Linked DNA regions of Oreochromis niloticus. The protein of the gene in region 1 interacts with the protein of each later gene in a biochemical or structural test. Links are inferred from orthologs where the notes say so. Each region holds a gene or a part of one and is shown on either strand. Other genes may lie near its edges. The genes, in order: map3k2 and smyd3.

What was found.
Region 2: the proteins of map3k2 (region 1) and smyd3 are reported together in a solved structure, tested with the Homo sapiens proteins (2 studies listed by BioGRID and IntAct, with this or other methods). The link is inferred for Oreochromis niloticus from reciprocal best matches to the Homo sapiens genes MAP3K2 and SMYD3.

What each region holds. Positions count from the first base shown.
Region 1 is NC_031986.2:20,160,956-20,168,373, forward strand, and holds the start of map3k2 (mitogen-activated protein kinase kinase kinase 2), read left to right. Parts: upstream 1-3,174; 5' UTR 3,175-3,529; intron 3,530-6,543; 5' UTR 6,544-6,561; coding exon 6,562-6,616; intron 6,617-6,848; coding exon 6,849-6,967; intron 6,968-7,049; coding exon 7,050-7,090; intron 7,091-7,187; coding exon 7,188-7,287; intron 7,288-7,418. UniProt on the Homo sapiens protein: Component of a protein kinase signal transduction cascade. Regulates the JNK and ERK5 pathways by phosphorylating and activating MAP2K5 and MAP2K7. Plays a role in caveolae kiss-and-run dynamics.
Region 2 is NC_031965.2:25,951,906-25,959,323, reverse strand, and holds the start of smyd3 (histone-lysine N-methyltransferase SMYD3), read right to left. Parts: upstream 4,318-7,418; 5' UTR 4,267-4,317; coding exon 4,103-4,266; intron 1-4,102. Other genes in the region: excitatory amino acid transporter 3, read right to left, coding at 5,511-5,619, 5,828-5,929, 6,134-6,268, 6,350-6,544, 6,681-6,803. UniProt on the Homo sapiens protein: Histone methyltransferase. Specifically methylates 'Lys-4' of histone H3, inducing di- and tri-methylation, but not monomethylation. Also methylates 'Lys-5' of histone H4.

The DNA.
Region 1 (7,418 bases):
CATCTTCCTATTCAGAAGGCAGAATTTCCAAGTTCTGAGTACAATCAAAAGCACCACGACTGCAGTTTTTGTGTTGGATGTAAAAAGCAGGCTAGAATCATGGCGGCGGTCAACGACGGTCCAGGCGTGGGATTTCTCTCGTGGAAATGTGCACATTATTTTTTCCTTTCTATTGGTAGGTGGCACAGTGCACTTGTGGCAAGTAAGCAAGCTAGAAGACTGGCAGTCTGGCTGGGTATCCAGTTACGGAAGCAACACATTAACAAGAGAATTCTGAGTAAAACCAAAGTTACTTTCCCTAGTAACTAGTTACTCTGAAAGTAACGAGTAACTTGAAGTAACTGAGTTACTTTTGATAGAAGTAACTAGTAATGTAACTAAGTTACTAATTTAAAGTAACTTACCCAACACTGATTATAACATATCACATGAAGAACTATATAAATTTTTGTAACTTCATAAATTTGAATTTCCCCATAACAGGTTATTTTTACAACAAGTGGCTCTGTGGTGTAGTGGTCAAAAAATTTGAGAGGGTGGAGACACAAACTCAGTCTCCACTCAGTGTCCTTAGTGTACGTGCTGGTCCCAAGCCTGGATAAATGGGAGGGTTGTGTCAGTAAGGACATCTGGTGTGAACTCTGTGCCAAGGCAACAACTTTTGCACATCTATCGGCTGTGGCACACCCTTGGGAAAATAAAGGCACAGCCAAAAGTGTTGTTTCGAAAATGTTTTGATTATTCTAAATCTACAAATTGTTACAACACTGAGTGAAACCCCCCATATCAGACAGCCCCGTATGAGCAAGCACTTGGTGACAGTGGGGAGGAAGAACTGCCTTTTAATAGGAAATGAACTTCCAACACAAGCAGATTGAGGGAGGGTCGGCCATCTGCCCGACTGGTCACCAAGGCAGACTATTTTACAATATAATATATGTATAATGTAATGTTTGACCATTAGAGTGTGATATAAATCTTTGCTGATAGTAAATGCAAGTTTATGGACACGGTAAATAATTAAACCCGGTATTTATTTAAAAAGTATGGAAAAATATCTATAAAACATTTAAATGGAAAATTCCTTTATTTTAAAATGGTACATTGTACTTTTTTATGGACTCTTCCCCCTTTTCAGTGTACTTTTATAGCACAGAAAAAACTTTTTTTTTGAAAACGGACTAATAATGTGGTGAATATGCAGCACAGAGTACAGACGTTTTATGTTTTTTAAAGAACAATGTTTATATTTTTATGGAAGGAATGCTTGCAGTCTCTGTATTTGACTTTTATCAAGCTGGGTGTAACAATCCAAAGACCAAAACCATAAACCACAATCTAGATAACACTGGGTCTAAATGCAATAATAAACTTAGACAACATGAACAAAACTGACACTAAAATATAATATAGAAACTCTTAGATGGAGAAATGTATTATAATGGGGCCCTTTCCATATCATACAAGTTGTAGGCACATTGCAGAAAACATAGGGCTGTTTTTGTTTTTTAAATTTTGATAATGTCAGGATGTGACACACACACACACACACACACACACACACACACACACACACACACACACACAGACACACAGACACACACGCACACACAGACACACACACACACACACAATGACACTGTGTTTTATTGCAGGATCATTTTAAAGCTCTAAAATATGTTTGTTTTTTGTTTTTTTTATTAACAAATTCATTTTATCTGGCTAATAAGAATGAATATAAACTAGATAAACACTGGCTTATTTGGAGTTTGAGGTTTTTAAAATCAGTTTTGTCTCACCTGAGTGATATCAGAATTTCCATTTGTGCTTGGTCTAAACTGCCCCTATATATGTTTCACATTATTTTTAAGCACCCAGACAAGTTGATTAAAGAGTTTGGCTTTTAATTAAAATTAAAATTCACATTTTAAATTATAAATACAGATCAATACAATACATATTGATCAGTCCATTAGTGACATCAAGTTATTGGCCTTTTAAATGCTGGTGATGTGGATATATAACAAAATACTTTTATAATACATTAAACATTTTGTTAAATTTTATTTAAAAAAATAAACAACCTAGAGCTGTATAGGAAAGAAAAAAAAATTAAAATCATATTATGCATTTGCAAAACTAATTTAAACAGAATTAAAATATCAATTGCTTCAAATTTACTCTTTTTCAGTTTAGTCCAGTTTCAGCAACACGTCAGCCTCAGGTGTTAATTATAATAATAGCAGTAAATACCACCATTACCTGACAATACCAACAAATAGCACCCATTACATAACAAAGAAACCTCCAAACTAATACTAAAAATAATAAAAAACTAAACTAAAATGAAAGAAGCAAATCCGCAGAAGCAAAAGATTTAAATTTATATTTACTTTATTTAAATGGGACAATGCACATTAATTTACATGAGCGCTCAGGTTTATGATGTAAATGTGCCAGAGTAGTCATGCAGGCTCATTTTAATCTCCAAGCCAAATATGCAAAGGCATCTACAGTCATGTAGATGTCAAAGTGTATATAGATATATACCAGCTGTAAATAACTCATGTTCAATTCTAATGTGCAATATTTTGATGTCCAGTCTCATTATTTACTTCCTTCAAAACTACGTATGGTGATATATTATTTATGCATTTGTAGGCATGGCCCTGTGTGTATGTATATACATATATATATATATATATATATATATATATATATGTATATATATATATATATATATATATATATATATATATATGCATATTTTAATTTTATGCACCCCTGAGAGAGTGTAGCTATAATTTTGTGCTTGCATAATTAATAATAATGAATTTAATCAATAGAAACTCTTAAATCTCTAAATATGTTGAACAATTATATTAAATTGTAATAAAATCTATAAAACTATTAAAAAAAAATAAAACTACAATAACTCAGTGATTAAACACCAATCAAATGTATTTACTCTTTGACAGGAAACTCATAAATTTCTCTGACGTGACAGGTCGTGTTTTTATTGGACTCTTCCGACAAGGTTGGGGTTAAGACCTTTCAAGTTTCCGTAAATGAAATATGATATCCTGGCACTGGTTGTCAAAATAAAACACATAATAGTTACTTGAATGTATCTTCTTTTATTCTCTGTCTCTACTTCCGGTTAAATTATTTTTAATAAGTGACAGCTTGATGGCGTCGTGGGGTCAGCAGCGAGCGGAGCTACCGTTAACCAGGGTGTAAAGTACAGCTAAAAGAGCGCCTCTGATTAAGTTAGCCTTTTAACCACTGCACAGACAAGGAGCTACTTAGTCAGACGAGCCGCCGTTTTGTCGTCTTGTGGTCGAAAAGCTTCAGCTGGCTCCTCTGACAGTCGTCAGGCCTCGTCGTCGTCGTGGTCCGGCAGCACTCGAGTGAAGTTGGGAGCGGACTGCCAAACTTCTGCTTCCTCCAGCGGCTCTCCGCGGGGCCCGGGGCTCCTGTCACCGGCCCTGTGGATGAGGAAGTGACTACACATCTAATTAGCGCCCAGGTACGATACTAAAGAAGTATTGGATCCATTTGAAGGGTTTATTTATTCCTTTAAGGGCTGTTTGTTTTTATTATAGTCGTGCAGCGCAGGTGAACGCTGATTAGCTGTGCGGTTGGCTGTTAGCATTAGCTCAGCTTGACAACTTCCCTGGCCTGACAGCTAGTTGCACACGTCTAGCTTAGCTTCACATATCGGCTCTCTGATTAGATAACAAACAGTATTTTGGGCGTAAGTGTCAAAAGTGTCTTATAATTATTCATCAAAGCGGCTGTAAATGCTAAAAATATGCTAGCATCAGTTGCTATGTTGCTACTCGGCTAACGCTAGCAGGAGAATCTAAAGCGAGCTAATTATCTACCAAAGGAGGCCATAATTGTGCTGTTGATATCAACTTTGTTGTGAGCACTGAGCAAGAGTCGGCACAGAAGATGATGCTCATCAGGAGGATGATGTATGTAAGGGTAAAAGAGAGAAGAAAAAACGCTAAGCTAAAGCTAGCACCAATGCTGCAGCTCTCTCATCAATCAGTGATGATCACAGACTATCATCACCAATTTCCAATCAACTCCTCGTCAGCAGAGGCCATCTTGACTTAAATTTCCACTCTTTTGCAATAACAATAAGATGAGGGCTAATTATGTTTGTACAGATTAAATTCTGGAGGTTATGTTCAATAATATTAATTGATAACTGAACAATAAACTACTTTTATTCCACACTCAAGCGTATGCTGCAACCTTTATAGCGCCTTTATTGGACACTCATAGCTACAGTCATTGCATATTTCACTATACATGGCAATGCAATAGTATAATATACAGTTTAGTGACAAATTCAAAAGCTAAATGCTTGACCTCCTATAGTGTGGGTATCCGGAGCCCAGTTAAACATAATCAGTGATCAGTAGAAAGGTATGGTCTGGAAACTGACTCATCTGAATGGAACCACATTAACCAATATTTTCACATTAAATTGGCAATAAAATATCCACCAGTGTGGGTAGTTTAAATGTGAAGAAAAGGGCTCTTAAAGTAGGGTCAGCATTTACTCCACTACACTTGTATTAAAGATTTTGTCGCTGCTGTTTTCTCATGTGATTTTTTTTTTTTTTTTTCCCCTTATAAAATCACAAATATACTATTTATCTTTGTAGGGAACACAGCAATTTAAGGGCTCCCATTCCAGAAGTGAGTTCCTTGTTCATTCTCTCTATTGATGTTTCAGAAAATCCTTATATAAAGAGTTTTAATCCTCAGACCAAACCAACCAGCTATGAGGTGAATCATGGCCATTAAAAAGATTTGATTTGGATCAAAAAAAGAAGGCAAAGGTACGAGGCTGTGTACAGGAACTGCTCATCCCCATAATGCGCTGCAAATCCTAGATTTCACAGTGAATGAATTCCAGCCTCCTTCAATGTAATCCTTTGGGTTGTTTTAGTGTTGCGTAATAACAGTTTTGACTATATGTTGTAATTCATGGTGTGTGTGTAGTAAAGTTTAGCCTCGCTGCAATCATTGCTCGCTTGTTTTTCTGAAGTTTTGTGCTGATGTTCCTACATTTAAAGAATTTCAACAGTAACAGCGACCTCCACCGATTGGAGGCATTGCTGTTTCAGTTCAGGATTGTGGGTAGAGTAGTTCTTGTAAGCAGTGTCATAAGTAAAACAGGTTTTTGTTAAACCAGGGTTGTATGTAAATAATATTTAGTAAGCCTGCTTAAGGTGTTTAGATTATGGCTGATATTCAGAATACGTGTGGGATTTTTACTTAAGCAACCTCACAGTTGAGCTCGATATTCTTATGGTTTAAGTCTGTAGTGTGCAGAATAATCAGACACAAAAAGAATAATTGTTTTTACTTGCATTGGCAGTGTGTTTGGGATTATTGTCATGCTGAAAAAACAAGGCGTTGGCAATTAGATGTGTTCCAGATGGTATTGCATGGTGGATTGCATGGTACTTTTTCTGTGTTCATTATTCATTGATTTTAATCTCTGACACCACTGGCTGAAATACAAAAACAGATGATGTTTTGTGACAGGCTTCTACTAAGAAATTGGTTCTTTACTCAAGGCCACTTTAAAAAATGACAGTGTGGCTTCTTGGAAGCAAAATGTAAAGAAACAAGAGCTGACTCAAGACTTTTGCACAGCACTGTATATTGATATCAAGTACCGGGTTTGGGTTTCAGTGTTAATTTAATCATATGTGCTCCTCACTGTGAGGAAGATACTGAGAATCTTTTTTGCTGATCAAAACGTTGCGTTTGACTCAAACATTATTTTACTTATTTTAAGAAATGTGGTGAATACATCCAAGAATATAAACTTATTGAAGTTTATTAGTGAAAAAGACAGATGATTGGCCAGCACAAGTAAAATGAATCAAATGTGTCTGAATTCCTCACCCTAGTTTATTTGCACTATTCTTCTTTCAACTCGCTGGGAGCACTCCTGACTCACACATGCACTTTGTGTGGGGCGTGAAGTGAAGAAATATTGATGACGACATGTTATGTTACCATAAAAATGCAATAAATGCTTCCTAACAAGTTTTACACCTTACACATACTGAGAGTGAGAATGAGAAGCTGACAGGGAAGCTCACAGTTAAGTCAAAAACTTCTGCAAACATACAGAGAAAAGCTGCTGGTGTAGCAGTACTCAAACCCCTGACCCTCGTTGCTGCTGGTGTCCTCCAGGCTATGTTGGAGCAACTGCTGCTGATATGTAACATAGTAGACATAGAACAGCATAGATGATTTGTATCTGATCCAAATGCTGGATTGGTGCATCGGGAAATAGAACTATCATGTAGACATAACACTCTTAAAATATGTATAAAGCCTCCAGATGCTTGTTTTGACATTGAAAAAAATAAATAAAGGCGAGTTACAATAAATTTGCATTTTTCAGACAATTTCAGTTAACAGAAATGTTTTTATTCACACACTATGTGTAATGATCCCTTTTAACTGCATGTAAGGATTTATGATGATGTTTTTGTGTTTCAGGAGAAAGGAATCCCTTTGATGGGAGAATCCTCTTTCCTGGCCTCCTGGGTCAATCGCCGTGCCATTAAGATGGGTAGGTACATGCTGTGAGACAGTGTTACTCATTGGCAGCGAGTCAGCTTCATCTTTTGACAGACCTATAATTTGAGGAATGGTTTTTTTTTTTTTTTTTTTCTCCCCCCCGAACAATGGCTCTTTGACATCTTGCCTGACAATAGTCCTTGTTGTGCGGCTAAGTGGAAGCGCAAGTTGAGTTTTTCAATGATAAAACCTGTTGAATAAGCAGAAGTCGTGCTGTCTCGCAGATGAGCAGGAGGCGCTGAACTCCATCATGCAGGACTTGGCCGAACTGCACCGCTCCAGCCGTCCTGCCGCGTTCCTGTCAGACCTGTGCAAACCCAAAGCCTCGTCGCCCAAGAACCAGGTAACCCAAGTGAAAGCACAAAGGCTCAGCCTGGCTCATCTTTGCTCTGGCTGTCTTTAACTCTGTGCTCTGTCTCCAACAGAATGATGTGAGAGTGAAGTTCGAGTTCAAAGGGGAGAAGAGGTGAGGTTTCCACTGCTGTGTTTCTCCCTCCAGTGCTGTCAGTGCAGACCAGCAGCAGTGCCCGTCTCTGACCGCTCACCTGTCTTCTTCTCTGCAGGATTTTGCAGTTCCCTCGACCTATCAAGCTGGAGGACCTGAGGTCGAAAGCTAAAGTGGCTTTTGGTCAGACAATGGACCTCCACTACACAAACAATGAGGTACGAAACTTGAAATGTAATTTTCCTCTGCTTCCTGTAGTAAATGGACTGGTTCTTATATAGCGCCTTTCTACTCTACCTAAGCGCTCAAAGCACTTTATACAACATGCCTCAGTCACCCATTCACAGCC
Region 2 (7,418 bases), on another chromosome or scaffold:
GCTGGTTGCCACAAGGTGGAAACAGCATCAGTTGCTTACTCAGCAGCGATGGATGCCTACTTTCAATGATGTTGCTTGTTTTATCTGTCCACAATTTGAATGCATGGATCTGAGGAAGACACAATTATACTTTGGGCTGTGGAGGATCTTAAATCTGTACTGTATTATGAGTCACCCCTCCCACTTCTTGCTCTCTGGCTGTTCATCTTTCTCTTTCTTTCTCTTACTTTCCTCTTGCCTCATTTCTATGGTTCTTTATTTTCCCTTTATTGTACTTTTACTTGTTATATGTTATGTTTACATATAAACACTAGTTTTCTAGCTTTAAGATTTATGACTATTTCTTTCAAACAACTGCTATAATGGCTGACTTACTATCTCCAGTATTGACTTAATAAACACATTATTTTATATAACATTTGCATTCCCTCTTATCTACTGGCTGATCCATCTTCATCTTGTCACTATGCAAAGGAAGCAGCTTGAAAAAAAAAACAATAGAGAAAATAAACAGCCCTGTCCTGATGTTAGTTCATGTAGCAATATTTCTCCATATTTACTTTCCAGCAGAGTGTTTATTATCTCTTTATTGGTATTCTATTATCTAAGCTTTTATTTGAGTAACTGACAGAGGAAGCATACACTGCAGCTATTGGCACACGGCGACAGTCTTCTGCTGCTCTAACAAAGCAGTGTGAGGTGCAGCATGTATCTCTGGGGTACTTGGACAGTTAAGTGAATAGAATTGTTCCATCCCCCACATTAACGTCATTACCCGTGGATAAAGTGGATGTGCTGCGGTGCCAAATGTACTGATCATTGACTGTCACTGCTGTGTCACAACTGGAGCCTGCACTGTGATGACCCACTCTTTCCTTAACAAGCCAGCAATGAGACAGAAACCCAAGAAAGATAACTGTCCTACTTAAGTTCAAATGGATTGCTCCACATTTGGCACATACAACTTGGTCCTCAGATGTTTTTGGCCATTTCCCCCCAAAAAACAGGTATTCTATATATATGTATATTTATATATACACATATTCTATATATTCTGTGGACTGACAAGACAAAAGTTGAACTTTTTAGAAAGATTAACTCCTGTTACATCTGCTGTAAAATGAACACAGCATCTCATAAACAGAACATCACAGCAACAGTCAAACATGGTGATGGTAGTATTATGGTCTAGGGCTGCCTTGCTGCTGAAAACAAAATGAATCGAAGTGCAGACTTAAATCAGATTGAAATGCTTTGGCATGAAACATGTGGTTCATGCTCAAAAATCATTAAATGCAGCTAAAAAAAACCTATTCTGCACACAAGACCAGGCCAAAATTCTCCATAGCAATGTGAAAGACTCACTGCCTGTTATCTCAAACGATTTTTTTCCTTAACAAATGAAATCATAATTTAAAACCTGCATTTGGTGTTTATTTGGGTTGTCTTTGTCTAACATTTAAATTTATTTGAGCTGTAATAACAAATATGAAACTATGTGACAAATATGCAAAATTAATACGAAATCAGAAAGGGTGAGCCCAGACCGTTTTTCACAGCACTGCAGAGACTTTTACCAGGTGTATGTGTTGATGGTGGGGTACAGATTAGGAGATTTCAGTACAAATTAATCAAAATTTGCAATGTAAAAGCATTTTCATTGACCATGAACCTGAATACAATTTAACATTTCATCAGATACATATTACAGTGTGAGAAGAGAGAGTAATTTTGACTGCGGCATTAAAGAGTGAATACACTCTCTAAAAAGCATTACTTTCTTGTTTAAATATGTGTATTTTTCTATTCTCTCAGAAGATGCCTGCAATAACTACTTGTGTTGATCATTGCAACCAGCCATGACAGGAAGGCTAGTTTTGGACAAATCTGTCAACACAATACAACACAAAAACAGAGGCCCAGGTTGAACACGAGTGCGGTCCACTGATGAGAGTCACTGGCATCACGGCTGATGTGATCCCGTTGCTAGACTGTCTCTGTTCATTTGTTTCTTAGGCTCATATATGTACTATTTATAGCACACAGTAATTAACCTATCACTTTGCACCAGAAATTAGCACACTTGTTTCTCTCCTTAGCAGCCTCATTAAATTCACATACATCCATTTAGCCTGATTAAGTAGGTTTGTCTACATTAGAAAGCCACAGTGCTATCATTAAGCATCAAACTGAAAAAAAAATAACAGCAGGAAATGAGATGAAACCAAGGACAAGTCATCAGATTGATGCAAATAAAGGATAATGTGTACCTTCCCACATATAATCAGGAAAAATGAAAAAAATTATGAATTTGATATGAGAACGAGAAACTGTTTATAATTTCAAGAGGATACTCGGTCAGTACAAAAAACAATCTGAGGCTAATTCAGTGCTGTATACATGTGGACAAACATCACACTGCTGTAAGTTCGCTGCTTGGTAGCCCAATGACAAATTAATTTAGCAGCATAAAGGACAGAGCTTCAGAATCAGGCAGTAATAAAAGACCCAACATGAGGCCCCATATCAACTGATACTGCATACTAACTCTTAATGCATATTCTATATTCTGTATCTAAACAAGAGTACAATTAATCATACAACCAACAAAAGCCACAATAGGTATTACTGGCTTTGAGTCCTTGGTCATGAACACAAAGATAATAACATTTCCAAGTTTTCTAACACAATATGGTTCGTCCTCTCTCCAAAGGTCATTATTCCAGAAGTCTTGTCGTTTATTTAGATGCAGCTTTACAATCCTAAGCCATACTGCCATGTACTTTTATATAGAGAGAGACTTTCTACCATAACCCCTTCCAAAAAAGTCACACATATTCAGCCTTTCTCTAACTGAACTTCAACATTTAACATGCTAACTGAGGTCTGTAAAGTCTGATGCATGGCTCTTTGGTTTCTTTGCACTTACTCTGAGCATTTCATGGTCTGACCTTGTTGTGAATTTGCTGGGAAGTCCACTCTTGGGAAACTGCAGCATTGTGTCAACACAGACTTGAATGCTCCAGATTAGGAAACTGTCAAAACGTCTGTTTTATAAAAGTGCTTAAAACTGAGGCTGACCTCAATCATATACATTTTTTTGATTAGCAGCACCTGTACTTACCCTCTTAATTCCTATGGAAGCAGTAGGGGTGTACTTAGGTTTCCCCAGGATTGCATATAGTCCTGTGAAAACTTGTAACTCTGTACTAAGTCAGTTATTACACGCCTCAGACAAACTCACTGTAATTTTTTAGTGCAACCCTTTGTATATTATGCCAAGTTTAATCAGAAATATGCTCCAAATATGCAGTCACTAAAAGATTAATAACACTATGGGCTGAGGTCAGAGTGACATGAGAAAATTATCTCAAAACTAATTCCAGAACTCCTACTTGGACTGTATTCGAAAGAAGAAAATCACAGTCAAAACAAATCAATATTGATAAAACTCAGCCATTAAAAAAAAAGATCTATCATAAAGATCTTATAGACCAAATGTTGTGTCGTGGATGGGACAAATGATGTTAAACATTTCACTAGAAAAATTTACATATATTGAAATTGAAGCTGAACTTTGGATCAGGAAGTCAATGCTTGGTTTGGTATTCACTTCCCCATTAACAAAGGGAGGGGTTCATGGTTGTTGATATTGTTGATATTATTGTTTTTACAGCACTTATAAAGATTTTTTTTTCCTATTATAAATTTCACTGTCAGATTATTATAACTGAAGTCTGCCTCCTCCATGAAGGAGCCTTGCTACCATCTCGTGGCCGGTTGAAGAACTGCATCTACTAAAGTTATCCTTCAGCAGCTATGATGAACAAGGAATATCCATAGTACCCATGCACCCACTTATATATAAAGACTATACAGTCTGTGATATACAGTAGACCGTATATACCACCTTCGGTAAACTAAAACTAACATAGATAGAAATCATTTATCTATTTAAGCTTCCCACAAGCACAGAGCGAGTCCTCAACCATCACACTGCCTCCACTTTAACTACACACACTACTATACACCCAGCAGCGTTTCCTTTCCACAAAAGGCTGTTCGCAGGTCACACTGACAGATCAAGCACCCCCGGTCTTACCGAGTGAAGCAGTGGTGGCAGACCTCTTTGGCCAGTCTGTTGGACACGCAGCAGGCCAGCGGCTCGGCAGAGATCACCAGCTCTCCTTTGCGTATCCTGCCCGCTGCCCGGAGACCGTTACCTTTCCCTGGGCTGACGAAACGCTCGAGCATCGGTGCCATCATTGATTTTCCCTCCACGTGAAACAAACTTCCGTGTTTACATCCGTGATAAACGCTGCGTCATGACGTCACATGAACGTACACACGCTTTTACTACATATAAATGCAAAACGATTGTTTCGTATTTTTTGTATTTCTTTTTTATTATTATTTCTTTCCAAACTGTGTGTGCACCTCACAATTTATTATTTTTAACACTTGGTTTTTATTGAGTGTTTTTGCTTTTGTTTTCTTTAGATATAACATAGACGGTATTTGTAAATGGCATAGAAATGTCAATAAACATATTAATAATAATAATATGTTAATATTAATAATATAATAAACCAATGCCTTCCCTTTTAATATTAGTTTAGTTTTAGGTAATGCTGTATATGGTTGTTATTAGATTTATTAATATGAACTAATGAAGCATGCACTATCAAATGTGATTTCTGAATTCTCTGTTGTGTAATATTTGTGCACTGTTAGCAAAACCTTGGAAAGATGCTGGACAGAGACACAGGTACACTTAAGAAAAGCATTTGATCTGTTTGTTTTGTTAATAAAGATATATTTTCAGCAGATTAATGGTCACTTGGGTGATTTTTGCGTGGTTTGGATGATTGGCCATCTATATGGTAAAAGGCCTACCAGCTGCAGTGCTCCTGTTCTCAGAAGTTTAAAACAGATGAACTATTGTTCAGCAGCAAAGTCCTTTTGGAATAATAATATAATGTCTCTGGCACCTGATGTGGTTTTGCTCATTTTTGAATGTCAGTCTACTATTGTAAGTTGCCTCAAAATGAATCTTGGTAAACTAATATTTATGAATTCGTGCTTCTTCAAAATTTACACAAATCACTGACTGTTTATGTCATCACACAAATCTTTGATTTTTTTTTTTTTACATTATCCCTATAAAGATACTGCCCACTGCCTAGTGAGGACATGTTAACATTTTCCTGATAGTTATTCAAATCAAATTTTCAAATAAACAGCATACTTATTACAGAATTTTAATTAAAAAGAAATACTAAATATATTACTTGAATTCAGTTCATATACATGTCATATCAATTCAATTAAAACTGAAATAATTAAATAAAGAAATATGTCATACAACTTCACAAAGATTGTGATATCTCTGTAGTATCGCTGTACATCATTTACTAGATTCTTCACATTAACAGTCTTCTGTTTGATGTCAGTCTTCTAAACCATCCAGTGAAATTACAACAGTAAAATACAAAGCAAAAGCCACTAAATCAAACAATAACTTCTATGGGTGTGTGAAAAGACTCAGTATTGTCCAAAGGCAACGGGGTGCTGGATAACATTTTCTCTCCTTGGGCAGATTCCTCAGCACGAACCTCCCTGGAGCGCAAAACAACCACGAGAAACAAAATGTAAATGTATAAGCTTCACTCTGCAGATTTTGAACTTTAAATGTAAATATGCACTTTAAACTACCACCATAATATTTATTTCTGTTGACAGCTGATCCATTTCACTGTACGACACACTGAACCCCTGTACTCACAGACCGGCCCGGGAGTTGGGGACCGCTAATCTAGAACATCACCTTGTCAGGTCCATTTCTTCCAGTTCATGTCTGGACAGATGACAGACAAGTGCCACACCGATGCAGTCTCCGAAAACATTCACCACAGTGTTGCAGCGGTCTCTGAAAGGTAATACAAAAGAAAAAACTCATGCTAAACTAAACAATAAATTAAAACTACATAACACTGCTTTTTTTTTTCAATTTTATGTTCATACAGTACGTCTATGTTTTCAGTTTCTGAATCAATGAAGGCAGAAGAGACTCCTTTGGCCATCTGTGACAAAACTATTCACTATTTGTGTCATGTCCATTTCTAAAACTCACAGTAGCCATTCTATAACCACAAGGATGGAAGCGTCCCCCACAGGTAAACCGGCTGCAGTCAGAACAAAGAGAGTCGTCACTGCTCCTGTCGCCGGGATTCCTGCTGCTCCTATGCTGGAGACCGTTGCTGTAACTCTACAGAGCAAACAGACCAGTTACATTGGATTCTTGAAGACTACATCAATGACAAACAGTGTCATAAAATAATCAACGTACCCAATGGTGATCAGCTGGCTCAGGTTCAGTTTGATGTTGTTGAGCTGGGCAATGAAAACTGCTGCGACTGCCTCGTAAAGGGCAGTTCCATCCATGTTGATGTTGGTACCGATGGGCAGCATGAAACGAGTGATTCTGCGGTCGATCTTGATTCTGTCCTCACAACATCGGAAAGTGAGGGGCAATGTGGCAGAGCTATAAATCAATCGTAAGGGTTTAATCCCTTGGTCATAATTTCACATATTTAATAACTATAAAGACGAGCACTGGTGATGGACACTCAAAGCTAACATCAAACAGCTGAGAACCAAGACCTCAAAGGTAATCTTACCTGGATGAGATGAGCACTGCAGTCAGTAGAGCAGGATAAACCCCCTTAATGAGAACTATAGGGTTAGTTCTTGTAAATGCAAAATAGAGCGCTGGTAGAAACATTCCTGCGTGGATTATGAGCCTAAAACACACAATTTAAAGTGAATACTTACAGTCCTGGGTTTCTGGTTAGTATTTATTGAGTTTGGGTTCTGGTTTTGATTTTGTTGATCTTGTGTTTCTAATGCTCCCAGCATCACCCAGTGTCTCCATGTCTTAGCCTCACTCTGTCTTGACCCTCAGTGTCTCTGATATCCCGCTCTGTGTTTGTTATTCATCTTGTGGTTATTTCCTGTAATACTGCGATGGGCTCTCTTCTCATTGTTTTTATTTTTACGCTATGTATCTGTCTTTAAGTCTGTTTCTCTGATTGTCTTCAGGGATGTATGAGAACTTTCACCTCTTCTGGATTCCCAGCACACTATTTGGCTCAGTAAGCAACTCAGCTTAAGTTTTCTCTGTTGGTACCTTCCTATTGATTGGACTCACGTTCCCTGGTTCAGTCCCCTGAAGCTCACCTCATTAGTCCAACAAGACTAACTTCTTGCTAATTACTGAAGCGTAAATAAAACCTTTGTATTCTTTGTATGCAGAGTCTGTACACTCCATTTTGGCTCTGATTCAGCTGGCATTATACTGAATTCCAAGTTGCTCCTGATGCATTCATCACAGTATGAATGTGTGTAAATGTTAGATA